4 linked regions of the Notamacropus eugenii genome follow. The protein of the gene in region 4 purifies or fractionates together with the protein of the main gene of each other region. This does not show direct contact. Links are inferred from orthologs where the notes say so. Each region holds a gene or a part of one and is shown on either strand. Other genes may lie near its edges.

Region 1 (7,011 bases), on a different chromosome or scaffold from region 4:
ACAGGTTTCTTTTAGCTTTAAGTCTAGGGAACAATAGCAAGTGTCTCTGAATGCTAATTAACAGAAATGCTCAGCCATCCAGCAATAATAGAGGTTAGAGAAGAGACAGAGATGGTCCAAAAACTGGCAAGGAAAAGTATAATACATGTATGTCATACTGATACTAAGCCATACTGAATTTGAAATCAAAAAGGATTCTCACTCAATTTCCAGTTTTGTCATTTCCTAGCTGTGTGACCTTAGGCAAGTCACAACCTGGGCTTCAGTTTCCTCATCTGTAAAATGAGGGAACTGGGTTGTTAATCTCTGAGTTCACTAAATGCTAGCTATTATAGTATTCCAGCTCTAATCTCCATAATCCTAAAATAGCTAAACTTCCTACCCCCAGGTTCTAAATCCAGGAATCTCAGAATTAGAATAACCCTCAGAGAGTACCAAATACAAATGAAAATTCTCTCTACATCATAACCAACAGAGACACCAAAGCCAGAAGACTGCCAGTGTTTCAGATGCTGGAAGCTAGAATAGAAGTCATTCTACTCATGAAGAAGTCCTTAGGAAGTTCTTAGGTAAAAGCCAAATTTGCCTCTTTGCAGCTTTTACCCACTGCAGGGCCAATGACAGGTACTTTGGATATAGTCCTTTAAAGCTAAGGTTTAAAATAAAACAGCAAATCTTTAAGATTTGCAGAGCACTTTACTTTGAGTCACATAATAATACTTCAAGGGACGCATTGTTATTATCCAAATCTTACAAAAGAGGACGGTGAGACAGGCAGAGGCTGAGTGATCTGCCCAAGATCACATACCCACTGAGTGCGAGAAAAAGAATTCAAACTCAGGTCTTGACTTTAAGTCTTATGCTCTCAAAGGTGGGGAACCTGCAGCTTCAAAGACATACATGGCCCTCTAGGTCCTCAAGTGCAGCCCTTTGACTGAATCCAAACTTCACAGAACAAGAAGTTTGGAATCAGTTCAAAAGGTCACACTTGAGGGCCTAGAGGACCACATGTGGCCTTGAAATAGAAAGTTCTCCACCCCTGCTCTCTCAACTGTGCCACCTAGCAGAAGAAATCTAATCTGACTTCCAGGTGAAAGCTCTGCAAAGTATTAAAAGTCATTTACTTATTCACTAAGTATTTATTATACATCTTCCACCAGGCAAGGTTCTAGGGATGTTTTTGGGCTGTGGAAACAATCACCACAGAGTACTCCTGTGAGTGATATCTCCTTCATCAATGGAAACAAATACACAACTGCAGCGGGTCTCCTGCCTCAGCCCCTTGAAATGTGGGCTCCTAGAGGGCAGGGGAACCCAGAACTGGCCCACACAAAACACACTCAAGATTGTTCCTACAACTTAGTCTTAAGAGAGGTGCCTTAAGGCACAGTGAGGTTAAGTGCCCAGGGAAAGCCATCACTAGAATCCAGATCCTCCCTACGTCTTCCCCCCTCTCTGGTCACACAGCAAGAGGCTGGATATTGGTGTCTTCACCACACAGCAAATAATAACAATAATAATAGCTAGGATGGAGGAGCTTCACAAATATTATCTCCTTTGGTCCTCACAACAACCCTGGGAGGTAGATACTACTATCATACTCATCGTTTGATTTTGTTCAGTCATTTTCAGTCTTGTCTGTCATGACCCCATTTGGGGTTCTCTTGACAGAGATCCTGGAGTGGTCTGCAATTTCCTTCTACAGCTCATTTTACAGATGAAGAAACTGAGGCAATCTAAGTGAAGTGACTTGCCCAGGATCACAAGCTAAGAAATGTCTTAGGCCAAATTTGAATTCAGCTCTACTCTAGGCCCAGCATTTTATCTACTGGGCCATCTAGCTTTTGTTTATTTTTCATATTTAAACGTTTCCTGTGGTTTCTAAAATTATTTTTACGGAAATGACATTAGAGCCTTTGTGCTCAAGAAGCTTATATTCTTCTTAACACATTCCCTGTCACGCCAGAACGTAGCACACAGTAAGTGCTTTAAGAAATGACTACGGAGCACAGGATTCTACAGAGGGAAACAATGTTACAAAGCAACTATACAAAGTAAATACTGTGGGGAGGGGCCTAATTTGTCGGGGATAGAAAATACCAGAGTAAATACAAAGTAATTTGAAAAGAGACACCAGCAGCAGGCAGGGGGAAGGGCCCAGGAAAGGACTTCCCCCCCCGGGGGCTTACACCTACCCCTTTCCAGCCCCCCTTATATGGTGTCTCCCCCATTAGAATGGAAGCTCCCAGCGGGCAGAGTGTTTGTTTTGCTTTTATTAGGATTCCTGAGGCTTGGCCCAAGAGCCAGCCGAGCAAACAGCGAGTGTTTAATAAATGCTTGTTGACGACACAATTAGTAGCTTTAGAATTAAGTAGGTAAAATCTAGAGATTCTAAAAAGCTCTAAGGAAAGGATGGGTCTCAGTTTCCCCTGCTGCAAACAAAGGTAACTGGTTCGACATGGTCTCCGAGGTTCCTTCACGGCTCTAGTTTTCATTCGACGATTCTCCAACTTTTCGGTCCCAGGATTAAAATTTGAGGGACTCCCTCCCCCCAAAAGAGTTGTGGCTCGAGTGGAGTCTATCGATATTTACCACAACAGAAATAAAAAGTTTTGACAAGGCTGCCCCCCTCCCATCCCCAGACCACTCTGAGAACGTCTGGACCCAGCCCGAGGCGAGGAGAGCGCACTGCAGGCGTGGGGCCCGACTTGGGCAAAGGCGCCGAGGCTGGACGCCCAGCTCTCTCTCGCTCGCTCCCCTCCCCCGGCCCGGCGGGCGGCACCTTCGTCGGACTCGCGGCCGCGGCAGCTCCGCTCGTCGTCCTCGGCGCTCTCCAGCTCCTCCTCCTCCTCCGGGTAGTACTCCGGGGCGGGTGGCGCTCCGGCCGGGGCCGGGGCCAGCAGCCCGGCCGCGCTCATGGCGCCGCCGCCCGGGCCTGGGGCCGCGGGAGGTGTCGGCCTCGGACTCAGGGACGCGAAGGGAGCCCAGGGAGCGGCCGCCTCGGCCGCCTCAGCAGCCGCCGCCGCCGCCGCCGCCGCCTCCTCCTCCTCCTCCTCCTCCTCCTTCTCCTCAGCCGCCTCCTCCTGAGCCGCCTCCTCCTCAGCAGCCTCCGCCGCCGCTTCCAAGCCCCGCCCCCGGCGCTCGCGCTCGGCAACGGGGCCCTCGCGCGGCTGCTTCCGGGTCACGGGCTGCCCGGCGCGCGCCTGATCCCGCCCGCTCCCTGCCCCGCCCCGCCCAGCCTAGAAAAGCGAAGACCCCCAGCTCCTCACCTGAGTTCATGACGCTTCTCGCTCCCACCTCAGCCGGGTCCGTGCAGACGGCTCTAGCAGCCCCAGGGGTGGGAATCATGATTATGCATGAGCAGGCGAAGCGAGCGGTGCCTCGCGGAGCGGTCAGGACCCGCTCCTCCTCCGCTCCCCGCCCCTCCCCGCCTCTCTCTCCTTGGAGCTCCAGGACGCTCCTCCCCCAGTGGCCACGAGGCGGCGCCGGAGCCCGGGCTGCGAGTCCGGGTCAAGATCACCGCCCCCGCCCCGGGTCTCCAAGTTCAAACGCTTACGGGCGGGAAGCCAGAGGATGGGGCTGGGAGGAAAGGTAACCCGGGACGCCAGCCCAGGAGAGTCTCGGATTCCTGGGGGGTTCGGGGGTGGCCAGACCCCTCTGTGCCCATCTGTAGAATGGGCACGCTGATTCCCGTAGCTGCCTTCTCCGGAGGCTGCGGCAGAGGTGCCAACGACAGGCGCTTAGCTGCTTTTTGCAGACTTCCTAGCGTTTACATAAAGGCTGTCCTTGAAGATTAGAATGGAGCTGGGGAGTCCCGAGGAATCCAGGTTAAGAAAACCAGATTAGACCCATGCGGGTCTAAGATCCCTTCCAGGTCTGGATGTCTATGGAGAGCTGGAAGGGACCTTTAGGCTAATAACTGATCGGGCAAGTATTAAACTCCTTCTGTGTGCCAGGTGCCGGGGAAGACAAGGACACAAAGGAAACAGTCCCTGTCCTCAAGAAACTGACATTCTGAGGGAAGTCAAGTTCATAGCAAAGTAAATAGAAAACGGAGGATGTAAGTAGTGACAGACGATGAACGAACTTCACAAAGAACAAATACCACGTTACTGGGCGCAGTGGATAGAGCACCAGGTGGGGAGTCCGGAAGACCTGAGTTCAAATATAACCTCAAACACTAGCTGAATGACCCTGGGCAAATCACTATCTGACTCAGTTTCCTCTTCTGTAAAATGGGGATAACAATAGCCTCTCCTTTCCCACCCCGCCCCCCTATAATTGTAAAGTGCTTAGCTAAGTGCCTGCCAGATAGTAACCACTATATAAATGCTATCTATTATTATTGGTGTAATTATCATTATGATTATTAATGGGAAGAGGAAGGTGTCCAAGCAGGAAAGGCCTCTTGAAAGAGCTGTCATTTGAGAACACAGCACCCGAGAGGTTCTAAAAGGCTGAGGCAGGTTCTTAGGGAAAGAATAACTGATATTTATGTGCCACATTAGAGTTTACAATGTATTTGACTGACTTTATCTCATGGCAGCCCCACAAGAACCTGGGGAGGCAGATATTCCCAGACTTATTGTCTCCATTTTACATCTATTTCAAGCCCCTCTTTTGAAGAAGAAAACTGAAAGCCCAGGACATTGTGAACTCCTTCAGAGCAGGGCCTTTTTTGGGTGTGGAAGGGTTTCTCTGTATCCCCAGCACTTAGCACAATGCCAAGCACATAAGAGGAGCCTAATAAAATGCTTCTTGACTTGACTGACTTGTCCAGAGACGGTAACCGGCAGAACCTGGGTTCCCTCCCAAGTCCTTAGACTCTCACTTCAAAGCACAGCAGGCCTGGGTCCTCCTGGGCCCTCCCAGCTCTGGCATTCTATCTTCTATGGCCCCACCCAGTGTAGAATCAGAAAAAGAAAATCAAAAGTCTGTACTTCTGATCTACTGCTTTGAATATCAGGCATTCAATACAGGACAAGTAAGAGGTAAATAAATATCACGGCTTTATTAAACAACTCAATTCAAATATTTTCAGCTTAACAGAGGGCAAAGGTGGAGGGGCGGGGCAAAAGGCTAGGAAGGAATGTTTTCCAGATGATTTTTACCAGTAACCAAAAAAGAGAGGATGGGGAGGAGCTAGGTGGCTCAGTGGATAGAGCACCATGCCTAGAGACAGAAAGAATCATCTTCCTGAGTTCAAATGTGACCACAGGCACTTACTAGCTGAGTGACTCTGAGCAAGTCACTTCACCCTGTTTACCTCACTTTCCTCATCTGTAAAATAAACTGGAGAAGGAAATGGCAAACCACTACAGTATCTTTGCCTATAAAACCTCAAATGGGGTCACTGAGAGTAAGACAGGACTGAACAATAAACAAAAAAAAAGTTTCGCCCCCATCTACTGCCCTGTTAACCATACAGCCAATCAGGGTTACCTATGAGATCTTGTTACACTTGTTAGAACAAACTAATGTGGGCATTTTCCTTAGAAAGGAGGGTTTACCTAAAAATTTAAATTTGCACATGAATTCATCCTGATTGCTTATGTTACTTATGACCTATTGCAGAGCTGGATGAAGCAAATATTTGCTGATTCTTTTATTAAGGGGCCCGGAAGGGGGCTCAGATAATTCCAGACCAAACCTTTCATAGGACAGATAAAGAAACTGCTGCCTTGAGAAGAGCTAAGTGGTTTAGCCCAAGGTCAAGGCAAAGCTAGAACAAAATGACACACAATTTACCATGAACATATCTCCACAGATGTTTGCACCAAATTTAGTAAAAAAAATAAATAAATAAATAATTTTTTTTTTTTACTTTATGGAGAGGGGAAAATGAAACAAAGTAATAGCAAAGGCAGGGGTGGAACCCAAGGATTCTGAATTCCCAACCTTGACTCTATCCAGACCAGGGGTGGGGAATCTTCGGCCCTGAGGCCACATGTGGTCCCCTAGGCCCTCAAGTGCAGCCCTTTGACTGAACCCAAATCTCACAGTGATCCCAAAGGGATTTGTTTGGTACAACTTGCACTCAGTCAAAAGGCAGTACCCAAGGACCTAGAAGGCCTCCAGAATTAGAGCTCCCCACCCCTGATTCAGCCTAACTTGGCCTTTCATTGTGCCAAACTTTTCCTCTGTTTGTTTTCAGATTGCAGTTTCATGCCTTATTCCAATGTAAACCCCAGTCTTTTCTGATAGTATTACCAAGCATTTGTCTGCCCAGAAAAGATACTCAAATATAATCTTGTCCAGAATGGGGTGAATCTTAAATTATATTCTAATTTTACAATGTTTTTCCAGGAATTTCTCAAATTCTAACAATGTTACTGAACCAGTGTCAATCTCAGGGCTCACTACCCCACTTCTCTATTTTTAAACTCAAGATTCCAAATTTGACTACAGACTTCAGGAAAAGATTGTGTATGTGTGTTCTATTTGCACCTAAATTCCTCATCATCTGCTTTCATTTTGTCATAAACAACTCACCCGCTCTCCCCAAAGAGGAATTTCCCCAAATCCATCCTCCACACTATCTTCTTGATGTAATATCTCAAGAAATCACTGAAATTCCTCTTCTTCCTATCCTCAACCCAAAACAGTGTTCAAATACTCTGCTAGGTCAGGTTACCTGCCCTCTCCTAAGAAATTCATTTCAATGAAACTTTTGGTACCATCAGTATCTACCTAGGACACTTCCATATCCCCAAATACAAATGTTGATTTAAAGAGGAAGAGAATAAGGTTTAAAAGTAATTAAAGAATGTTTTACATGCCTATACGTTGTTTTCTAAATCCCAAATTTGAAAAGCACGGGCATCAAAAACCAAAGAAACAACCCCAAATGCAAAACAAACACTCTCACCATTCAGACTGCAACGGGCAAATCCGATTAATGGTAAAGACTGTCATAAATGCATACTTGTCAAGGCTAGTACATAGATTGGAATTTATGCCAAAATTGATTAAAAGTAGAGTGTTTCCAGATGAGTCCAAGATATGCTGCAG
Region 2 (7,772 bases), on a different chromosome or scaffold from region 4:
CAAAGGGCAGAAGGAAACCTTCATGATTGTGGGTATCATTGCTAAGGCAAAGTAGCCAGGGAGTCACTTGCCCTGGGGGTTGGGTGGTGGGTGGTGGGTGGGTAGGGCTCTCAGTTTCCTCAATCTTCATAAGAGGACACAGGACTAGGTTCTCTGGGGGCCGTGTCCAGCACTTTCCAGGGTGCCCCAATTAGACATGGGGTCTGAAGGCTTGGCTTCAAAGCCTGGCTTTGCCATTTCACAGGGATTGCAGGGAGTACTGGACAGAAGGCTGGACTTGGGATCTGGAAAAACTGGGCTCAAATCCTGTCTCAGACACTCAGACAAGTCACTGCCCCTCTTTGTCTGTTTCCTTTTCTGTAAAATGAGGATTGGACTAAACTCCCTTCTGAGTTGAAATCTATGTCCTTTTTACCTTGGGCTAATCAAGTCACCTCTGGTGGGTCTCAGTTTCCCCATCTAGGGTTACCCTCAGGGAGCTCCCATTCAAGTGTACATAATGTGTACTCATGTACAGGTGAGGGGGAGGGGTGTCTGAGACACCAGAGAACCAGGGAAGGTAAGAGATGTGGGGGTGGGGGGCAAGCCATCAATGGCAAAGGCAGAGAGGAGAGAGGGAGTTCAAGGGGTAAAGATGAGTCGGGAGGCATGAAGGTCAAACAAAGAAATCTCTATCCCACCCTCCAGGTGGTGCACCAGGTGGTGACAGGGCAGGGAGGAAAAAACCAGCCTGGAGCTGAGGCTCCTGCCAGGGGATCCAGGCTGGGGGACGATGACCCTGGCTCTCAGCCTCCAGTCTGTCCTGGGAGAAGGTGAGCCCAGCCCAAAACAATCAAATCTTTACCTTCCCAGCCTCTGGCTGAGCCACACCACAGACCAAGGAAGGCAAAATCAAGCTGGACTCTAAAGTGAGACCCCATTTAAAGAGTCCCAGGCCCTCACCAGAAATGTCTAAGTCCAAAGGGGTCCAGCTGTCCTTCTCTGAAAGGGAAATCTACGAACTGCCCACCTCTCCCCCCAGGCTCCCCCATCTAAGCAGTTAGAGCCCAGATTCCCAGGGGCCCACACGACCCAAGGAAATTCCATGCAGATGAGTTACAGGAAGCTGCTTTCCACAGAAGACCTTTTTAGACCCTAAATTAGCTCTTCCGGTGCCCTTAAAGGTTAATAACAAATAACATTGCCAGAGCGCTGGAAAAAAAGAACCACCGACTGGGTGCTGGGGACAGCGCAAATCCTTTACAGTGTTCACAACAACCTTGGGATGTAGGAGCGATTATTTCCATTTCCAGCTCAGGAAACTGAGGCAGACAAAAATTAAGTGAGTTCCCCAGGGTCACATCACACACAGCAAGTAAGTGTCTGAGGCTGGATCAGGTCTTCCTGACTCCAGGCCTAGTCCCTGACCCACGGGGGCCACCTCTAATTAGATTAGTTCATTTGGTCCACACCACACCTGTGGGGGGTGGGTGCTATTATTATCTGTACCCTACAGAGAAGAATGGGAACGAGAACTAGGCTAACCCTGCCCAAACCCGGGTCCTGCTCCTTCCACAGTCTCATTCCTGCTGCAAGACAGAATCTGCCTGGTCCTCACAGTGCCTCAGGCCCCTGTGCCCAGACTGGGCCTTGGACTGGAGGGGGCAGGGGAAGGCTTTTCTCCCTATTTTCCACCAGCTACATTTTGGACCCAGGGACCTTGACCATCCTGGCTGCCCACCTCAGGACACTCCGCAGCTTCTTTATCCTTCATAAATAGTAAGCAGACCCCCAGAACTGAGTACCATACTGCTGAGGAGGAGGTGGAGGAGGAGGGGGAGGAGGAGGAGGAGGAGGTGTGCCTGAGGTCTGGTGACTGGGAGAGAACACAGAGGGGTGGGTCCCCTCCACCTGGGGGGCTGCTGACTCATCCTGGGTCCTTCGATCTCCTCCAGACCCCCGGATCTTTCTCACAACCGCTGCCCATCGTCCCTACCTAGGTATCTTACTAAATTAGCCCAGGCTGGATCCTGGCTCTGGCAGCCTCTACGGTGGCATCCCTGCGGCCAAACATCCTGCACACACGGCACCATTCGGCCAGTCATTGATCCGAGGGAAGGGGCCTGGGGCCACGCGCAGGTCCCCGGTGCCCCCTGGGCACCCCTGCCCAGTGCACGGAGCCGCTCCTGGTCATGGGCAGCTTCGGACCGAATGGTCCTCTCTCTCCAAGCATCCACGCGCGACGCACTTGGCTGAAACCTGCCCCAATTCTCCAGGCACTCCGGCCTGTGGGCAGCCCGGCCTCCGCTCGGACGTGGCCACGGCGGGGGGCACCCCACCCCCACAGACACCTCTCTGATTTCGGGGTGTATCGCAAGTCTCCATTCCCGGAGGGGCCCCCTCCGCTTTTAGCCTCCGGGGGTCAGCAGACGGTGAGCCCCAGGGCAGGGCCGGCCGGGGTGTCCCCAGCATGAAGCCTACGTTGGGCGGCAGCCCCAGGGGCAGCCGGGGAGGGCCATTTTACAGAGAAGGCAACTGAGGCTCAGAGAGGCCCAGGGGCTCCCCTGGCGCCGGGTGCCGCGGGGCTCCTGACCACCCTCCCCCCGCCCGGAGCAATGGTCCGGTCCGGGCCTATGGAACCCTCCCCGGCGGACGCTACCACCGCTCGCGCCGCGGGGAGGGAGGGGGGCGCGGCCGGGACGAACCTTTCGCGGGGGGTCCAAGATCCAGGCGGCCGCTCCGGGAGGTCCTGGGTCGGGGGGAGGGGAGGGGACGAGACAGACGCGGCCGGCTGCGGGCAGTGTCCCGGAAGTCTCGCCCAGGGCCCCACCCACCGGGGAGGGGCCGAACACGCCGGGACCCGCCCTCCGAGGAGCGAGCGGGAACCGCTGTTCTACGTCATCAAGGAGCGCCGAGCCGCGAGGGACTCTGGGACGCCGTCGGCGCCCCGCGTTTCCATAACAACCGGGAACGCTCCTGCGGCCTGTTAACTTGCGGCGGTGCAGGACCGTGGGAATTTTCCTCTTCCGGCGTGCGCTCCGGGAATGCAGCCCCAGGGCCCGTCCAGGCCTGACCGCCCCGCCCCCCGCGCTCGGGGCAAATGGCTAGAGCAGCAGCCACTCCCATCGCCCCCTAAGGCTACTACTGGCTTTGTACAGAGGGGGAAACTGAGGTTCCCGGGAAAGGGACGTAATAAAGAAACATACCTACAGTTACATAGGACTTTAGAGCTTGTACTGCAGCTTGTAAAGCCAGTCTTTCCTTTGGGTCTTACAACCACCCGGGGAGAGAAAATACTACACACACAATTGTTACTGCCGTTTAACAGATGAGGAAACTGAGGCTCCAGAGTGGTTTGCTCAGACCTTGGGTCTGTCATGACTTCCAACGTTCACGATGACGCTGGAAGGGAACAACACCGAGACACTGGTGCACTTGAACACTGCTTTATTGGCATATTGTCATCCAAGTCAAAATTCCTGGCTCTGTACCTATTTGGGATGGGGGTTTCCTCTCACCAAGGGGGTTCTTTCCCCACCCAGCCTGATTCCCAGGGCCGTGCCAGTCACAGATGCCAAATCTTAGAGCTGGAACAAGTCTCCTATTCCAGCTCTCTCTTTTTACAGACATGTAAACAGACTCGGAGAGGAAGGGATTTGCTGAAGGGTCACACAACAAGTCCGAGGCAATGTTGGGGCTGGCGTCCAGGACTCTCAACCTCCTTCTTCCCCTTAAATCATCAGATTCAGAGGTGAAAGGGACCTTGGTCATCTGGTCCAACTCTCTCATTCTACTGATGGGGAAACTGAGGCCCAGAGAGGGGAGGAGAGTGGCCCAAGATAAGTGGTGAGATAAAGGGCAGGGACCTAGGGATATGTAAAATGAGAAGAATGAAGACTTTTGGCAGCTATCTCTGAACCACAATTCAAGCTTCCTGAATTGAATGAAGCTTATTTCTTCTCCCAAAGTCCCCACTCCCTTTCCAAATCCCTTCTTGTCCCCCACTCCCCAAAAAATCTTACCTCTTGGCTTTGTCACATCAGTGCTCATCACCCACCTAAAAAAGGCCCACCCCCAGGGTGAAGGACTGGGTTAGCCCCTCTTGCCTCCCACAGGCTTGAGGGGGAAACCTGAAGAGCCAAAGGCCCCAGCCCTGCCTTTGGAGGCTGCTCTCTAGGTGGGTCGGCAGATCAGCATCTCCTGGGAGAGTCTGGGTACTTCATCTTCAACTCCTGTTTGAACTGGCGGAAGAGGATTTTATTCCGTTGATTCTCTGCCTCCTTCTGGGGGTGGAAGTCCCCTGGCATCTTGAAGCCCTTGTGGACCAGGAAAGCATCATTCAGCACCTCAAACTCATACCCTGCTACGTGGAGCTCACAGGCCTGGGAGGGAAGAGGGGGAGAGGAAACGGTCAAACTGGCCCTGGTTATCCTCCTGCCACCCCCATCAGCTCTTACCAGACACCTTTTGTCAGCCCCTTCCCTCCCACCCCAGGGAGAGAGCGACCGGCACCTGGCTGATGCGGTTGAAGCCATACTGCCGAAACCTCTCATCGTAGGAGGGCACTGCGCCTCCGGCCACATAGAAGGGCTCCCAGGGGTCCTGCCAGGTCACGCGGTAGGCAGGTCGCAGGGGTCCCCCTGGGGGCAAGGTGAGCCATCGAGAGTAGTTGGTGGGGGCGTGGCATCGAGGGCACAGTTCAGCATAGAATGGGCGAACGTGCCCCATCTTAAGGAAGCGCATCAGCTCGATTTTGGTGCGGGGGACCCGAACCCCCTGGCGGATCTCGAAGGCCGGAACCACCAGTGCCCGGCCTGCCCTGCCCTCGCCCAGGGCCAGCAGCTCCAGCAGGCCGGTCCAAAGCCCATCGCTGGGCACCATGTCCACGTCCACGACGAGGGCATGGCCGGCGCCCTCCCGGGCCACGTTTCGAAGGAGGTTGTTGGGGTAGGAGACGTTGGTGGCCAGCGCGTAGTTGCGACCTGAGCGGCTCCGGGCGCCCATGCTGGTGAACACATCTGTGCAGCTGCTGAGGCGTGCGAATTCGCCCGGCTCCCGCGGGTCAGGCACTGCGGCCTCGGTGCGCGCAGGGCACACCAGGTGCATGGTGAGGCGGTCGCGCACGGCCTGCGTGCAGAGAGCGCCCAGCGCGTAGGTCAGCACCGTGGCCAGCTGCGCCTCGTCTGGCCTCGCAGCGAACACGGCCACTGCCAAGGGCCCGGCCCAGCGCTCCAGCAGCGTGCCCACGTGGCCCAGGTTGCTGAGGCTGGCGTGGGTGGCGAGCAGCAGGGCGTCGCGCGGGCGGCGCGAGGGGTCCCCTAGAACGTGCCGGTACACGCGGTAGTCCCCGCTGGCGTCCAGGGCGCCGCCGGCGGCCAGCACGGCCCGCAGCTGCTCCTTGGCGCTCTCGGCCGCGCGGCGCTGCAGACTGGCACCCAGGGCCGCCCCGCCGGGGAACAGCTGCCCGTAGCGGCGCCGCTGCTCGCGCCCGTGCAGCCCGGCCAGCAGCGACAGGTAGACGAATTGCAGCAGCGCCACTGCCAGCAGCGCCGCCAGTGCCAGCTTGTAGGCCGAGCAGCGGCCCGCCGCGTGCCCGCCGCCCGCCGCCGCCGCCGCCACTGCCAGCGGGTTGGGCATCGCGTGCCGCCCAGGCCTCCCGGGGCAGGAGGCTGGGGAGGAGGCGAGGAGCGGAGGAGGGAGGCCAAGCCGGGCGAGCGAGCGCACCGCGGATGCAGCTGCCGCCGCCGCCGCCGCTATCCCTGCTACTGAGACTGTGGCCAGCCGGGCACTGGGGGGCCGCCGCGGAGCGCACTCTCGCCCTCTGCCCAGCGGGAGGACGCACTGCAGCCGCGCGCCCCACGGCGAGCCCCGCAGCTGTGTGTGGCCCACGCAGATGTGCGGTGTGTGTGTGTGTGTTGGGGGGTAGAGATGCCCAGGTTCTAACAGGAACGAGAGAGAGGGGCCCGTGGCCTGGCTGGCAAACCCAACCTTTCTGGAGGGGAACAAGGCGCCTAGGGGTGGGCTGGCAAACTGCCCTGTGCCTTCCTCCCTTGCAGAAAAGAAAGGGGGGAAGGAAGCGCTCGAGGCTTCGCTTGCAACTTCCAGGCAGTGCCTCAGGCAGCGTGTCCTCCCTGGCACAAAGGCTCGTGGCTCCCTAGGAATTGCCAGGAAGGGGACGCGACACCGGCAAGCCCCCTTTTCGGCCGCACAGGGCGCGCCAAGCTGGAGTCGCAAACACATGTGACCGTGGAAGGACACCCTGACACCTGCGCCCGGGTTTGCAGGTTCCCACTCTAGTTTGCACTCCCGCAATCTTTTCGGGGGGTGGGGGGAGGGACGTGCCCACAGCTATCCACAGAGGCCTGCGGAGGGAGGGATGTTTCCTGGTCACTCGGCAGTCGCGGCCACCCTTTGAAAGGAAAACGCGAGCATGGAGCAGGAAACGAGCCCCTCCCAGGGGTCCCTGTGCCGCGCCTCTCCTGGCATCAGAGATCCCCCGCCCGGCCCGCAGAGGAGGGGAAAGGCTGGCGCGGTGCTCTCCGCAGCCGGACGCAGGAACAAGGGGCTGCGCGGAGAAATCAGCCTGCGGCGGGACGAGGTGGCCGAGTGGTTAAGGCGATGGACTGCTAATCCATTGTGCTCTGCACGCGTGGGTTCGAATCCCATCCTCGTCGTTCCAATTTTCCGCTGGCCCCGCAGTCATTTTCCTCCTCAGCTCCCTCGGAAGGCTCTCGCGTGTTAGGAGCTTTGGGGAAAACAGCCAGAGAAAGGCACGGATGCCCGTCATCCCTCCCCTTCGCAGGAGAGACTCAGACCACCCACATTTTGGCTCCAGTTTGACCAGATCCCAGAGAAAGGAGGGACCTTCCGAGGGAAGTCGTGGTGGTTGTTGGGCTCTGTCCAACTCGTGGTCTTCCTGTCCTAAGCTCCGTAGCCCCAAGTGCCCAAGATTAGCAGGGAGATCTCGATCTGGGTTTGGGATTGGCTTTCGACTTAGCAAACACTGCTGGACACCGAGAGGGCAGAGCCCTGAGATGGACATGGGGCTTCCTGTTGAGGTCGGGTATAAACACACACGTGCACACGTTGTCCCTCCCTTAGGAAGAAGATAATATTTGGGAGCAGCTTTCAATTTCTGCAGCCTCGGTCCCTGGCGCACAGTAGGTGCTTAGTAAAAGCATGCCCACCGATTAAGCTTCGAGGGAACTTTGTGCCTTGTGTTTGTTCTGTGGAAAGAGCTGAAGCTGGGCCCCAGAGGAGTGACCCTCTCCCCAGAGGAAGATCTGACCCAGTGATAATCTTTGGGATGGGACTCAGCCTCAAGAAGGCAGGGCCAAACCAGGGCTCTCCCTACCCATGGCCAAGGAACTGAGGAAGAAAAGGGAAGCTCATGAATTCATTGGACCTCACAGCCAGCCAGAGTCAATGCCCAGTCCTGATTGCTCCCGGCCACCACCACCAGAACAGAAACAGCCAGAATTTATTAGCATCTTAAGGAGGACATTTTCATGTTGGATTCTCATAACCCTGCCAATTAGGTGCTGTTATTATCCCTGTTTTTACAGATGAAGAAACTGAGGCAAATGGGTTGTTCAGTCACGCAGCTAGACTGTGTCGGAGGTTGTATTTGAACTCAGGTCTTCCTGATTCCAGGCTCTGAAGGGTTTGAGATGATCACTTAGTCTAACCGCCTCAGAATTCAGAGGGCGCCCTATTCCAAATCCAGAATGCTTCCTACTGCTAAAAACCCCCTCTAAAGCTAATTACATTAAGGCTGCTATGTACCACCCCCT
Region 3 (7,246 bases), on a different chromosome or scaffold from region 4:
ACAAACTATATAGGCCAATGAGCTTGACTTCAATTTCTGGGAAAATTCTAGAAAAAGTCATTAAAAGGATGGTTGGTGAACATCAAGAAAGGGAAATGGTGATTACAAAGAACCAGTTTAACTTCATCAAGAATGGTCATGCCAGACTAATTTCATCTTTTTTTTTTGACAGGATTATTAAACTAGTAGATGAGAAGAATATTGTAGATATGATTTACTTCAATTTTAATAAAGTTTTTAACAAATTACCTAATCTTTTCTTATAGAGAAAATGGAGAGATAGGGATTAAATGATATTACAGTCATACGGTTTGAGAACTGGTTGGATGGCAAGACTAAAAAGAGTAGCTATTAATGGTTTAATATCATCTAGGCAGGAGGTTTCTAGTAGAGTAATCCAAGGATGAGTACTTGACCCTGTGCTACTTAAAAGTTTTATAAGTGACTTGGATAAAGACATGTTTATCTAATGTGAAGATGACACAATGCTGAAAATGATAGCTAAATGGATGATCAAGTAAGGATCTAGCTGAATCTATAAGATGAAAAAGACCTGGGTGGTTTAATGGCTTAAGCTCAATATTAATCAGAAGTGTGATATGGAAACTAAAAAAGCTAATGTAATTTTGGGCTTCATAAACAAGAGGCACAGCTTCTAGGAAAAGCGGGGTATAAACCAACAATATTCTGCCTTCATCAGAATTAATCTGAAACACTGTTCAGTTCTAGATGCCACCGTTTTAAAAGGATATTAATAAACTTTTGAGTGTCCAGAGAAGGGCAAACATAGTAAAAGGTCTCAAGTCCCTGACACATAGGAATCTGTTAAAGTAACTGAGAATGTTTAAGCCAAAAGAAAAAAAAATGGGAGGTTAAGGGGGTAGAACCTGATAGGTAAATTTAATTATCTGAAGGGCTCTCATGTGGAAGAAGACTAGATTTGTTCTATTTGGCCACAGAGGACAAAACCAGGAGCAAAGGCTAGAAATTACAAAGAAGTCAATTTAGGTTTAATGTTAGGAATAACTTCCTGACAATTGGAGAGGTCCAAAAATGAACTTGGTTGCTTCAAGAGGTGATGGATCCCCCTCCTTGGAGATCTTCAAGCAGACGCTAGATGAGCATTGGTAGATATGTTATAGTAGGAATTCCTTCACATATGGACTATAACATTGCTTGAAGACTGTTTCAACTTTCAAATGCTATTATTCTGATCCCTTCTTCTCCAGCAAATTACAAACTCAATCATCTCCCTCCTCTCTCTAATCTTCAACTTCTCCCTATATACTGGCTCCTTCAAAATTTGTCCAAGAATCCTCCATGCTTAAAAAAAACCTTCTTTAACCCCCTCAAGATACCCATCCTTCCTTTCTCTGTCAAACGCCTAGAAAAGCTGTCTACTAACCATTGCCTCCACCTCCTCTCCTCTCACTCAAGTCTTCTCTATTGGCTTCATCTCATAACTCAAATGAAATTGTTCTACACAGTTAACAATGATCTCTAAATTGTTGGTTCTAATGGCATTTTTTTTCAGTCATTCTTGGACCTCTTTGCAGCATCTGACATTGCTACTTTAACCTGGATACTGGATACTTTATCCAGGGATTTTGAAACATTATTCTCTCCTGGTTCTTCTCTTACATGTTGACTGCTCCTCCTCATTCTACTACGCTGGCTAATCATGGTTCCTAACTGTGAGTTGATCTCCAATCCTGGACTCTTCTGCTCTTTCTACAAGGTCATTTAGGGACCTCATCAATTTCATTGCTTTATCATCTCTAGGCAGATGATTCAGACATCTATACATCCAGTTGCAGCTCCTCTGAGCTTGAAGTCCTGCGTAACAACAACAACTAATTACTTATTGGACATTTCCAAACAGATTATACCTCAAACTCAACATATTCAAAACAGAGCTCATTATCTTTCCTCCAAACTTCCCTATTTCTTCCAGTCACTGCTGTGGATAGTATCAGAGGTTCTGAATTCTTCACTTTCCTTCAGAGCACATATCCAATTAGTGGCCAAATCATGCTATTTCTACCTCTCCCACATAAGCTAGATTATTTCAATAACCTCCTAACTGGTCTCCCTGCCTCAATCCTCTACTCACTCCATTCACCCTCTATTCTGCTGCAAGTGATCAGGGCTGACCATATCATCCCTTACTAAATACTCTAGAGGAAACTCAAGAAACGTTACTGGTGGGCTGGTTGATTTGGAGGTAGAGGTGAGGGAAAAAAACGGCATTAGGACAGAGGAAAGTGTGCTCTCACTCCGGGGGCGTGGGGGCACCCACCCAAGGGGAGATGGCCGAGCCAGATCGGCTGCAGGCAGGGGCGGGCAGACACAACGAGGCCTGGTGGGGAGGAGCGATCGCCACCGGCTGCCGGGGCAAGGACGTGCCAAGTGACCAGAGGCAGCGGAGAGTGTAAAGGCGTTCCTCCGCGCAGGAAGGGCCACACGCCTCCGCTCCGCTTGCCCACGCCAGCTGTGGGGACCCATGACCCGGCGTAGGCGTACAGGAGTTGCTGCCGGCGCCTCCTCCCCTTCCCAGCCCCGCAGAGGGCGGAGGGACGCCGGGACAGGGGCGCGGGGTCCCTAGCACAGGCCTGGGAAGGAGTCTCCGCCCCTTCCCTTCTCTTTTACCCCCTTTCCGGGGCGAGTGGACCAGACGTGAGGCTGGGGCAGAGAGGCCCGGCCGGGCGGCCGGAGATCTGACCACCTACCTGAGCTGTCCCCATCCTCGGAGACGGACGAGCTCTCGGTGTCCTCGTCCTCCGAGGTGCTTCCCTCGTTCTCGGCGTAGTCCACCTCCATTTCATCGTGATGGTTCGTCTCCTTCTTGTCCCCGCGGGAATGGACAGGCATTTTCTAGTCGCCCCCGGCGTTTATTTCTCTTCCTCGCAGGCTACGGCCCCTTCCGTGCGGCTATGTGCGCAACCCCACTCCAAGCGACACGACTTCTCCCAGAATTGTCTTCTCCCTATCTGGAACTCACAGCCTAACCCGCCGGCTCCCGCGATGGAAGCCCTGCCATTGGAGAACCCCTTCCATGAAGCCTGGGAGGCGGGGCTTGGCCGCACGTTGAAGCTTCGAAGGCCCGTTGCCTTTCGGGAGTTGTAGTCTCTGCGAAGGAAACCCGAGTTGACTGGATTTCACAGCCTCAGCCCTGGTGATTTGGCATAACTGGAATTCAAGTCCCAATAAAGCACCAATCACATACACTCAAATCTCATTTATAGACAGAAGCACATATTTGATACATACGTGAACTATTTCCATTTTCCCATTAAACAGCTGCCATCTGAGTACCCCACCCCCAACTGTATAAGTCTATCAGAAATAGAAAATTATTTCCTCTACCCACCTTGGTTCAGAACCTCATTGTTAGTATCAATAACTTCACCGACTGTTAGAATAAGAAACCTTAGAGACTAATGTAATCCAACCCCTAATTTATGTAAAGACAAGAAAAATGAAGACCTAGAAAAATTAAGTAATTTAACAAAGATCTCACAGCAAGTTAGTGGCAGAGTAAGGGCAATAACCAAACTCACTATCAATGGAGTATAGTGGGAAAAGTACTGGATTTGGAGGCAGGATGTGGGTTTGAGAGTGGCTCTCATCACTTGGTTCTATCCTTGGACAAGTCTTTTAACCTCTGTGTGACTCAGAACATATGACTCAATATCTTTGGCCTCAGTTCCTTCATCTGTAAAAAGAAAGTCTTATTCTAAATGATCCAAGTGATGGCTACCAGTTTTGACCGCCTACTTACAGGAAGGCCGGTGCTCATTCCACTAAATTGCAGTCCTACTGAGATAATAAATTTGTATTTTCTATCTCAATTTATATGATTTGGCTACACAATACATAGAATTATGCAAATAATTGTTTTAAAAACTTCAATTCTGTTCTCTCAGCCACAGAAACAAGAGGGGATAGTGAAGAAGGAGGTAAAGCATAAGAGTAACTGAGAAGAGGATAGTCAGAAGCAACACATTTCTGTTCCTGAAGAGGAATCTAAAAGAGAAAAAGAAAAACAAATACAATTTAAAGGGTGTGGTGCCCATCAAGGCAATATTAACATTAAGTTAATATTAATAATATTGCGCCTTATGAAATGAGGAAAGAGAATATTAGAGAATCCTGGAATAAATGAGATGGTGAAGAGTGATAAATGAGAAAAATACATACAGAAAACAACATTGTAAAGAAAAACAATTTTGAAAAACTTAAAGCACTCTTATCAATGCAATGACCAACCATATCTTTAGAGGCTATAGGATGAAACATGATATTATTCACTTCCTAACAGAGAAGACTCAAAGTACAGAAACAGATGTGCATTTTTTGATTTGGCTACTGTGTGGATTTCTTTTGCAAGGGTGGTTTTTGTTGTTTTCCTTGTTTTCTTTTTTTTTAATTGAGGGAATTGGTGGAGGAGGGAGAGATTGGCTAGTAAGGGTGATGCCAAAAAGGGGGGGAGGGAGGCAATAGAACTATTTTCAAATAAACAGAACACAAGGAAGTTCAGAAGCATTAATAGACACAGATGACAATTTTTAAAATAATTTGTGGAAATATGTATGTGTGTATAAACATACACATTTTTAAATGTGGCATAAAACAGATTCACAATTTCATATACAATACTTTTTTTGTTCTACTGTAAGTATGAAAATTATCTTTGTTGCTTAAGTTCAGAATTAACAAATAATATTTTAAAAAGTTAAGCTTAGGGGAAATGGATACTGGTTAAACAATAGAGAGGTCAATTAATGGAACAGACAAGGTACATAACATCCAGAAACAAATGAACACAATAGCCTAGTGTTTGATAAACCCTAAAATCACAATTACTAGCTAAGAACTATTTGACAAAAGCTACTGGAAAATTTGAAATGTAGTGTAGAAAAAATTATATGTAGACTTAACATCTCATTCCATATAACTAAGGTAAATTCCAAATGGAATGTGATAGATATAAAAGATAACATCATAAATATATTGTAGAAGCAAGAAAAAATGTACCTGGAGGGGGAGAGGGGAAGCCAAGATGGTGGAGTAGAAGGATGCATCTGTAGAAGCTCTCCTCACCATAGTCCATAAAATATCTGTAAAAAATTACTCTAAACAAATTCTAGAGCAGCAGAAGCCACAAAATGAAGGAGTGAAACAGATTTTCAGTCCAAGACAGCTTGGAAGGCTGACAGGGAAGGTCTATCTCACAGGGCTCAGAGCGATGCGAAGCTCAGCATGGGCCTCGCAGCACGGAAATGACTGGAGAAGGTTTCAGGGTGTGGAATCACAGGTAGCTGCTGGGGTTCCCAGATTTGTCAGCCCACAAATGTCAAAGACAACTTCAGAGGTCAGTAAGATAGCTCTTTCACCTGGGAGAGAAGGGAGTGAGGTGAACCCCAGCCCCAGATCCAGGGCTGCAGCAGCCACTGAGGTAGCAACATCCACTTTGGAGTCCTCAGTCTAAAGACCATGGGGGAATCCAGCAGCTGATCTGGATCTCAGTCCTAAGTGGTAGTCCTGGAGTGAGGAAGAACACTAGCATGGTAGAGCTGGTGGTAGCACTGGAGAGAGAATCCTACTCAGTTCCAGGGCAGAAAAGAGTGCTTGTGTTTGCTCACAGACCAGAGCGCAGGCCAGGAGAGGAATAAACTCCTCTCCCTTGACTGTGCCACCTTGGAGGAACTAAGAACTTACAGGTCCCTAGAGTATACCCTCCACTTGACAAAGGACTCAAAATTCAAGTAACTGGCTGGTAAAATGCCCAAGAAAGGGAAAAAAAGTCAGACTATAGAAGGTTACTTTCTTGGCAAAAAGGTATTTTCTTCCTTCCTTTCAGGTGAGGAAGAGTAAAGCACACCATCAAAGAAACACGTCAAAGTCAAGGCTTCTACATCCAAAAAAATATACAATGGTCTCTGGCCATGGAAGAGCTCAAAAAGAATGTTGAAAATCAAGTAAGAGAGGTGGAGGAAAAACTGGGAAGAGAAATGAGAGCAATGCAAGAAAATCACGAAAAGCAAGTCAACAGCTTGCTAAAGGAGACCCAAAAAAAAAGCTGAAGAAGATAAGACCTTTAAAAATAGACTAACCCAAATGGCAAAAGAGGTACAAAAAGCCAGTGAGGAGAAGAATGCTCTAAAAAGCAGAATTGGCCAAATGGAAAAGGAAGTTCAAAAGCTCACTGAAAAAAATAGTTCTTTAAAAATTAGAATGGACCCAATGGAGGATCTCAAGGCAAAATGCCTGCCACACTCAGAGAGAGAAATATGGAAGTCACTCACATATTGTAGCAGATCATGTTTGTGTATGTGTATGTGTTTGTGTATCATGTTCTGATTTGTTATACGATTTCTTTCATTTATCTTAGTCTGACTACATAGCATGACTATAGTGAAAATATACTCAATAGGAAAGTATATGTAGAATCTATACAGAATTGTATGCAGTCGTGGGGAGGGAGGGGGGGAGTGAGGGGTAGGTGGGGGGGATAAAATCACAATTGTATGGCAGTGATTGTTAAACATTACAAAATAAAAAAAAAATTAGAATGGAGCAAATGGAAACTAATGACTATGAGAAATCAAGAAATTATAAATCAAAAGAATGAAAAAATAGAAAACAATGTGAAATATCTCATTGGAAAAAAAAACTGACCTGGAAAATAGATCCAGAAGAGATAATTTAAAAATTATTGGTCTACCTGAAAATCGAAAAAAAAAAAAAGCCAAGACATCATCTTCCAAGATATTATCAAGGAAAACTGGTCTGATATTCTAGAACCAGAGAGCAAAATAGAAATGGAAAGAATTCATCAATCACCTCCTGAAAGAGATCCCCAAAGGAAAACTTCTAGGAATATTGTAGCCAAATTCCAGAATTCCCAGGTCAAGGAGAAAATATTACAAGCAGCCAGAAAGAAACGATTCAAGTATTGTGGAAATACAATCAGGATAATACAAGATTTAGCAGGTTAAGGGATCGAAGGGCTTGGAATATATTCCAGAATTCAAAAGAGGTAGGATTAAAACCAAGAATCAGCTACTCAGCAAAACTGAGTATAATACTTCAGGGGAAAAAAATGGAATTTCAATGAAACAGAGGACTTCCAGGCATTCTTGCTGAAAAGACCAGAGCTGAATAGAAAATTTAACTTTCAAATACAAGAATCAAGAGAAACATGAAAATGTAAACAGGAAAGAAAAACCTTAAGGAAATCTTT
Region 4 (8,107 bases):
GACAACAAGAAGTATCTAAGGCAACATTTGAACTCAGATTTTCCTGATACCAAATCCAGCACTCTTATCCACTGTGTGACCTAGTTACATGCCAAAAACAGTGTTATAAAATATTTGCCCCTCCCTCCAAACACAGTGTACATTTTTTCTCACAAATGTACATAGAGTCCAGGGAGTAGAGTAAGAGAACAGTAATAAACTTAAAAACATAATGGCAGTGAAGCATATTTGTAGGTAGTATAACAGATCTTGAAGTTCTCTTTCTCCAGAGTCCTGAGGAGTTCACAGCAGGGAACACCTTTGATGACAGACAAGTAACTGGTTCTCAATTGGAATGATTCCTTGAAGGACATAGAATTTCTACTAGGGAAGCTGATCCATTGCAATGTGGACTTTGCTACAAAGTAGTTTTGTATTTGAGAATTGGAATCTTACAAATATGGATAACAGTTCGCAGTTTATTGGAAAAATAGCTGACTAGGAAGTGCATGGACATTCTGACCCTAAGTCAGAGTGAGGCCTCTGAGAGAGACGTAGTCTTTGGTAATCAGGAAAGAGAGAAGAAAAAAATGAATTAAACTTGGGGGCATTGGTCAATGAAGTTGGCATTTTAGGTGGTACAGTGGGTAAACTACTGGACCTGAAGTCAGAAAGAACTGAGTTCAAATTAGATATTTACTAGCTATATAGTCTTGGGCAAGTCACTTAACTTCTTTAAAGTTAGTTTTTTCCTCTGTGAAATTTGGACCATAATAGCATCTTTCTCATGGGTTGTTGTGAGCATCAAATGAAATAATATTTGTATAGCACTTAACAAAGTGCACACAGTAAAAACTATGTAAGTTCTAATTCTAGTTATTACTATGTTGTTATCTGTGTTTTACAATGCTTGATGTTTGGAGTGAGGAATCTCCTTTAGGAAAGGAAATATTCATTCTTGCTTCTGAGAAACAAGCAGACCAAAAGGACTTTTTACTCATCAGTGAGTGGATATTTTAGGGTTTATGCCTATTCTAAAGATCTATGGCAGAGAAGCCTCTGCGCTTTAAGCTAAAGGAGCAATGGCTAAAGGCGCTCTTCTTGGGAGAAAGAGTTTTGCTCCTCTCTTGAAGAAGAGATAAGCATTCCCAATTAAGCCAAAAGCTGTTAGTAAAGAGAATCTCCATAATCTCAGGCTCAGTGGGGCTGTACCTGGCAAAGACTAGCAGGAACCATGTTAAGCATATAAAGCAGAGAGCAGACCAGGTAAAGGGCAGGTTGAACTGACATCTCCAAAAGGAAATGGAAACTGTGCGGCATCAGAGTATTAGTGACCTTCCAAGTATGTGTCTTCACTACATGTGTTGGTTACATGCATCCTTCTACATGCTTACCTTGACCATATGTGTTCTATGCATGAACACTATCAGCTAGGTGGTACCATGGAGAGAGTGCTGGACATGGAGCAATCAGGAAGATTTACCTGAGTTCAAATCTGACCTCATACACTTACTAGTTATAACTCTGGCAACTCATGTAACCATATAATCTGTCTGCCTCAGTTTTCTCAAATACAAAATACCTATTTCCCTGGGATGTTGTGAGGATCAAGTAAGATATGTATAAAGTGCTTAGCAAAGTGCCTGGAACATAGTTGGCATTTAACAAATGGTCATCACTTCTACTCCTGTCTTCTGACTCCAGTCAGTCAACCGGTAATCATTTCTTAAGTACCTACTATGTGCTAGGCACAGAGATACTCACTGGAAACTTCACACCAAGGACTTTAACTACTGCATTGTTCTTTTCTGCCCTCTGGGACCAAGGATCCCAATACTACCTCTCTTCCACATGCTATCCCTTCCGACACTGGACAGCTACCCTCCAAGTCTTCTCTTCTCCAAGCTAAACATCCCCAGTTTCTTCAACCAATTTCCATATGTCATGTTTAGTTGGAATATTCACTATGTGAGGGGAATGGTTGAAGAAGAAGCTAGAAAGGTATGCTGACACTAGATTGTGGAGGTTCTTGAATACTAGGAGAAGTATTTTTTATATTTTATTCAATACGCAATGAAAAGGCATCAAAGATTTTTTAATATTTATAGAGCAGTCATGCAGTTTTTTTTTAACTTAAGAATGATGTTCATAATAGTTGCTGCAATAACAAATACTCATAATCTTCATGCCGTACGGGAGAAAAAACTTTCTATATAGAGAAATCAAGCAGGAAAAAAAAATCAAAATGGGATTAGGTAAATACACATTTATTAAGCACTTACAATGTTTCAGGCATGGTGCTAAGTGCTTTACAAATATCTCATTACAGCCTCAAAACAACACTGCAAGATAGGTGCTATTATTATCTCCATCTTATAGTTTTGGAAACTGAGGCAGATAGAGGGTAAGAGCAGTAAAATATAGAAGACATGTGGAGGAGGAAATAGGCTGGAGGCAAGAAATGTAGCTTTCTTGGTATAGTAGTGGAAGAGAGAAGATATAGGACCTAAAACAAGATGATTGTAGGGGGAGTGAAAAGGCTGGTGAGGAATGTGTGTGAAGATAAAAGTGATACTTAAAAGACAGAATTATTTGGACTTACTGGTTGACTGGATAGGGGCTAAGCGTGGGTCAGGGAGAGGGGTGTCACAGACAACTACCCAGATGACTAGATGTTGGTGTCATCAACAGAAATAGAGAAGTTAGAAAAGTGACATGAGTTGGGTGAGGATTTGATTTACTTAAACACATTTATTAAGTGTCCATTGTGGACTCACCCAGCTCCAGTGAAATATGGTTGAGATTTGGATTAGACAGGATAGACAAGGTCCCTGCCTCATAATTCAGTAGGGAATATGACAGGGCAGCTAGGCAGCACCGGAGATAGAAGTCAGGAAGACCTGAATTCAGATCTGAAGAAGTCACTTAACCTGTTTGTCTCATTTTCCTCATGTGTAAAATGAGCTGGAAAAGGAAATGGCAAACCACTTCAGTATCTTTGCTAAGAAAATCTCGAGGGGTCGTGAACAGTAGAATACAGACGAAAACGACTAAACAAGAGGGAATATGACACACACAAACAAAAGCAAGAAAGGATACATAACAAGTGCTGGAGAGGGAAAGTGTTATTTCATGGGATTGGGGGAGAGGGATGGTGGTGACATCAACAGAAATAGAGAAGACAAGGAGAGAGACACGTTTGGGGGAAGATATTCAACTACCAGAGATTCTTACCTTTTTTTGTGTTTTGGACCCCTGTCTGTCTGTTGAAGCCTACGTATGCTCAAATTTTTTTAAAACATGTGTAAGCTAAAATATATAGGATTACAAAGGCACAGTTATGAAAAATTTTTAAGAGTCCCTGGCCCCAGGTGAAGAACTCCTGAAACCAATCAACCACCCACCCAACCTCCTGGGGAAGAGGCGTTCGGTTTAAGTTCGATATAGGCTAGGGTTTCCAGTGCTCCCAGGTCGGGATGTCCAGCAAGCAGCTGGATCTCCCGGACTCTCGCACCTCTGAGGAAAAGTTTTAGAGGTGGAAAGAACTGAACGCATCTAACCAAAAATGAAGAGATTTGAGCGCTCCCTTCGCAGTCAGGGTGTGTGACTGGTTCAGCTCGTCTGAGGATGGCAAGGAAGTGAGTGGGCAAAGAGAAAAAGGCCTACAGCCCAGTCCAGACGGAGCCGGCAATCCTCACTCCGTTATTAACATGTTCTGCACGCCAGCAAAGACGGAACTTCCATCTGACCCCCTCTCTTTAAGCCTGAGCAGCGAGGTGGGGGTGGGGAGGGTGGGGGACAAGGCCAAAGAAAACAGGACGGTCACAAAGACTTTCAAACTTTCTGCCGAGCCGCGTTCGTGTAGCTGGAGCCTTTAAAAGGATAAACGGGCTGGTGCATGTCCACGCCCCCTGCCCTCTCTTGATTTGGTAACCAAGACTCTCTCCGCCTCTTTGTTTTCCGGACAAGTTGTTAGCTCCGCCCAAGGAAAGAGGTGGACAAAACTGGCAGGCTTAGTGTGCTCGGATAATGCAAAGGTTATATAAAGCTTACCCCCGCCCCCGCCTCGTCAACTGACTGGGAGAGGATGGGGAAGGGGGGCGCGAAACCCAGCCGGGTTCGGGTTGCGACTCTCACCAGGAAACCCACCTGGCTGTGGGCAAGAGTCCCCGTTTCCCTAGCTCCCAACAAGCCGTTGGAAATGCGGGGGCTGGAGATCCGGGGAGAGACTTGGGGCACTGTCCACTGGGCAGGATACCTGGACTCAGCGGCAGGAGGTCCCGGGAAGGGCGCTCCGGTCTGCGGGGCTTTACACTGAGCCAAGGGTAGCTCGGTGCGTGAGAGGCCCCGGGACCCTTTCCCCACCTTCTCCACGCCCCCTGCCTCCTTTCCCAATGCACACACTTGGCATACGGGGAGCGAAGCGAGTGCCCAGCGGGGCACCTCGGGCAGCCTGCCTCCCAGCGATCACCCCAAAGTGGGAAAGTCTAATCCGGAGAAGCCGACCCTGCACTTCCACTTTTCCCAGGCAGCCAGGAGAGAGCTGAGAAAGAGCCAGGCCTGCCAGCATGTACCTGCGCAGTGCACTTCGGTCTTAGTAGTTCTTCATCCGCCCGGGCGAGCCAAAGCCGAGAAGAAATAAAGTATGGGGTCGAGGGAGGTGGAAAGAGAGCCGGAACGGACTACATTGCCCATAATGCTTCATTCTCTGAGGTGGGAGGGGTTGGAGAGGAGAGTGTTTGTGTTAGGAAGAGGCAGGGAGGGGCCGGCGGAGCGGAGGAGTGTCGCGCCTGCGCACTAGCCGCGGGCTGTGGAGAGGCGGAGGAGGGAAGGGGGAGCAGCCTAACAGCTGAAGAGTCTCCACATGACAGAGTGAGCGCGGTTGGAGCCGGACGCCCCTTCCCGAGCCGGGACACGGAGCCTGCCGGCCCGGGACGAAGAGCAAACGCCGGGCCGGGCGCAGAGGATTGTCGGGGTGGTCGTCGGCCAGTGCGGAGTGAGTTGCCGCTGGGGCCCGGGCCGGAGCGGGACCGCTCCGTCCGCCCAGCGCAGGTGCCTCGGGGGCCGGGGAGCGGAGCGGGGACCGAGGCCGGAGCGCAGGCTGCTGCCTCCCCCTCGCTCTCCCGCCGTCCGGTCCGGCTCCGGGTTCGCCGCGGCTCGGAGGGGTGCGTGAGCGGAGGCGAGAAGGGGGCTCCCCCGGCCGCCGCCGCCGCCTCGGAGGGGAGGCCACCATGAACGGCTTCCCCCCGGACGAGGTGAGCCGGGGAGGGGACGCGGCCGCCGCCGTGGCCGCCGTGGTGGTCGCCGCTGCCGCCGCTGCCGCCGCCGCCGCCTCGTCCGGGGCGGGCGCCGGGGCCGGGGCGGGGGCCGCGAGCGGGGCGGAGGTGCCGGGCTCCGGGCCGGCGGCGGCTGCGGCGGGTCCCCCTGGAGCGGCGGGCCCGGGCCCCGGGCAGCTGTGCTGCCTGCGGGAGGACGGGGAGAGGTGCAGCCGGGCGGCCGGCAACGCCAGCTTCAGCAAGAGGATCCAGAAGAGCATCTCCCAGAAGAAGGTCAAGATCGACCTGGACAAGACGGTGAGTGACCCTGGGGCCCCGGCGCCTGCGGGCGGACTTGCGGGAGCGGCGTTAGCCAAGTCACCGCAACTCCTGCGGCGGCATCGGGAGCCCCCTCTTTCCCCATCCACCCTCTCCTGTCTTCTTCCATCGCGTTCACCTCCTTCTCCCATTCCCCCATTCACCTTTATCTTTGGCCCCCGTGCCCTTCCACCCCGTCCACCTCTACGAACTTTTCCCACCTCCTCCTTCCCCTCCTCCCTTCCCCCCACCCCTAACTTCTCTCATCCCCCCGTCACCCCTCAGTCTTCCTTTGCGCCCACTTCTCCCCCTCCTCTTCCCTTCCTTCTTCCCCCTCGGCGTCTTTTGGGGCACGATTGGGAAGCGAAACAAAGCGGGGGAAGCGAGCAGGGGAAGAGTTGTTTTCCTCGCCGCCCCGTGGCCCAGCCTGGCAGGGAGGCTCCTTTGTTAGGCTGCCCGAGCTGGGACGTGGAGATTGGCCCGGCTCGTGGTTGTCCCTCGGTGCTGTGTTTGAAGCCGCCCGCCTGGTCCGGGACAGCCATGGAGTCGGCGGTGGGGGAGCGGGGCGGGGGGCTGCCTCCACTCTCTTCCCCGGACACACTCGTGTATACACACACGACACACACGACACGGAGAGAAGCCTGAGCTCCTCCCACTGTCTGTGGGGGCTGGTGGACAGGGACCTGGGCATTGCCTCGTGGGTGTGTTGCTCGTAGGTCTTTGCCATTTCACGTTCTTGTTGGCAGACCTCCGGGGCTGCCCCCGTGATCGTGTCCGAGGTTTTTAGAAGCTGGTTTGATCCGTTTAGTTTGTCTGCCTGGAGGAAGGTGAAACAACTGTTAGCTCTTTCAAAGGCCAGCCAAAAACAAGCCTCCTCCTTCCTTAAAAATAAGCACGCTCTTTCCTGAATCTTAACTTCCTCTGAGCTTAAAAATCCGTTCGTAAGGGTCTGTCGAGCAAGTCCTTCACGTAAGACAAAGGATCGCCCTTTAGACTATGTGTATTTGTTGAAAAAGTGCAAGAAATCAACTCACATCTGGTAACTGACTAGTATTTAATAAGACGCCGTGCGTTTGAGGCTTGGGGAAAGAAAAAATGAATGATGACATCCCCTCGAGGAGCTTACGTTGACTGGGTTTATTTTTAAAAGTAATATAATAAAAAGTTGATAGAATGTGTTGGGGCCAAAGGAGATCTCTGAAGTACCGAAAGAGAATGTGAGGAGGGAGAAAAAGACTCGTAGCTGAAGGATCTGGGAATGCTTCTCGGAGGAGGCACCTGAGCTAAACCTTGAAGGAATTTTGATTGGCTGAGTGGTAGAAGAGCCTGCATTCCAGGAACTGAAACAGGAACAGGCCAGGCCAGCAGTGCACAAAGAAGGCTTTTCCAGCTCAAGGACTAACTAGCAGTCCAGTTTGGGAACCTAAAGTATAGGACGGGAAGTGATATGAAATAATTTGATTCTAATGTCAACATACAGTTTTAAATAGTGTTACAATCGAAAAGGTTATAAGTAAATTAGTTTGTTTAAAAGTTAACTTGTATTTGTTTCTACGAGTTTCATTTTCTTGAGTCATGGAAAGTTATCTTGAAACTATTGGGAGGGTAGATTCCATTGGAAACAGAAATGTAGACTCGGTGATAATCCAGTTTATTAGGATCTGAATTATGAATAAAGAAACTGGAATTAGTAGTTAACTTTTTTAAAAAAGTTGCTATCTACTAAGTATTTATGATACCCTGATTATAAGTTGGAAGTTGTGTTTGGAAGAAAGAAGGGGAAAAATAGAGAACATGTTGTACTTAAAAAGATCCTCTCTAGAGAAAGCAGTGTGCTACTCAAAAGAGCTTTACAGTAAAAAGAGCCTTTCTTATATTTGAGAGAGACAGCCCTAGACTCATTGCCCTCCCATAGCATTTTGATGCCAGAAAATAAAGGCCTAGAAAAAACTTCTATTGTCTCTCTTCAGCAGCATACCATTTCTGAAATAGACTAGTCACAACACAACAAGGTAAAGTGCTCTTTCCTTTGTATCAGATGAATCGCGGTGATTTCACATGAAGGATTCTGGGGGGAAAAGGAATATGATAGAAATGAAGACGTCCAACTTATAAGTTACTTTTCTTATAACTTTATCCTTAATAATTCATTATAGCATATGGTACTTCCAGATTAGAATCTAGATTTTAGTTTAATTATGTAATAATGAGCTCTGTTGGAGACTTGGGTTTTTTTTGATGATGTCTGTTTTCCCCCCAGGCAAGACACCTCTATATTTGTGACTTTCACAAAAACTTAATTCAGAGTGTTCGAAACAGAAGAAAGAGGAAAGGCAGTGATGATGATGGAGGTGATTCACCTGTGCAAGATATAGATACTCCAGAGGTAGATAAGTAGTTATTATATTTTTTTGTTTTTCAATTCAGCAAATATTTATTAAATACCTATGTCATGAACTAATATTCCTGCAGTGAAATAATTAAAATGCATGTTATTGTTAATAGTTATGCCTGCAAGTAGGTGAAGTTTGACTTTGTGATATTTTCTGTTTTAA

What was found.
Region 1: the proteins of SAP30 (region 4) and SUDS3 purify together in Homo sapiens (affinity purification with mass spectrometry; 4 studies listed by BioGRID and IntAct, with this or other methods). This does not show direct contact. The link is inferred for Notamacropus eugenii from reciprocal best matches to the Homo sapiens genes SAP30 and SUDS3.
Region 2: the proteins of SAP30 (region 4) and BRMS1 purify together in Homo sapiens (affinity purification with mass spectrometry; 3 studies listed by BioGRID and IntAct, with this or other methods). This does not show direct contact. The link is inferred for Notamacropus eugenii from reciprocal best matches to the Homo sapiens genes SAP30 and BRMS1.
Region 3: the proteins of SAP30 (region 4) and BRMS1L purify together in Homo sapiens (affinity purification with mass spectrometry; 4 studies listed by BioGRID and IntAct, with this or other methods). This does not show direct contact. The link is inferred for Notamacropus eugenii from reciprocal best matches to the Homo sapiens genes SAP30 and BRMS1L.

The regions. Positions count from the first base shown.
Region 1 is NC_092875.1:27,137,285-27,144,295, forward strand, and holds the start of SUDS3 (sin3 histone deacetylase corepressor complex component SDS3), read right to left. Parts: upstream 3,014-7,011; 5' UTR 2,919-3,013; coding exon 2,783-2,918; intron 1-2,782.
Region 2 is NC_092873.1:18,947,485-18,955,256, forward strand, and holds the start of BRMS1 (breast cancer metastasis-suppressor 1), read right to left. Parts: upstream 3,119-7,772; 5' UTR 2,685-3,118; exon of another isoform or gene 1,935-2,684; intron 1,759-1,934; exon of another isoform or gene 688-1,758; intron 1-687. Other genes in the region: B4GAT1 (beta-1,4-glucuronyltransferase 1), read right to left, coding at 4,170-4,361, 4,492-6,219. UniProt on the Homo sapiens protein: Transcriptional repressor. Down-regulates transcription activation by NF-kappa-B by promoting the deacetylation of RELA at 'Lys-310'. Promotes HDAC1 binding to promoter regions.
Region 3 is NC_092872.1:328,079,944-328,087,189, reverse strand, and holds the start of BRMS1L (breast cancer metastasis-suppressor 1-like protein), read right to left. Parts: upstream 3,150-7,246; 5' UTR 2,872-3,149; coding exon 2,730-2,871; intron 1-2,729. UniProt on the Homo sapiens protein: Involved in the histone deacetylase (HDAC1)-dependent transcriptional repression activity. When overexpressed in lung cancer cell line that lacks p53/TP53 expression, inhibits cell growth.
Region 4 is NC_092878.1:87,835,434-87,843,540, forward strand, and holds the start of SAP30 (histone deacetylase complex subunit SAP30), read left to right. Parts: upstream 1-5,082; 5' UTR 5,083-5,210; coding exon 5,211-5,552; intron 5,553-7,812; coding exon 7,813-7,938; intron 7,939-8,107. UniProt on the Homo sapiens protein: Involved in the functional recruitment of the Sin3-histone deacetylase complex (HDAC) to a specific subset of N-CoR corepressor complexes. Capable of transcription repression by N-CoR.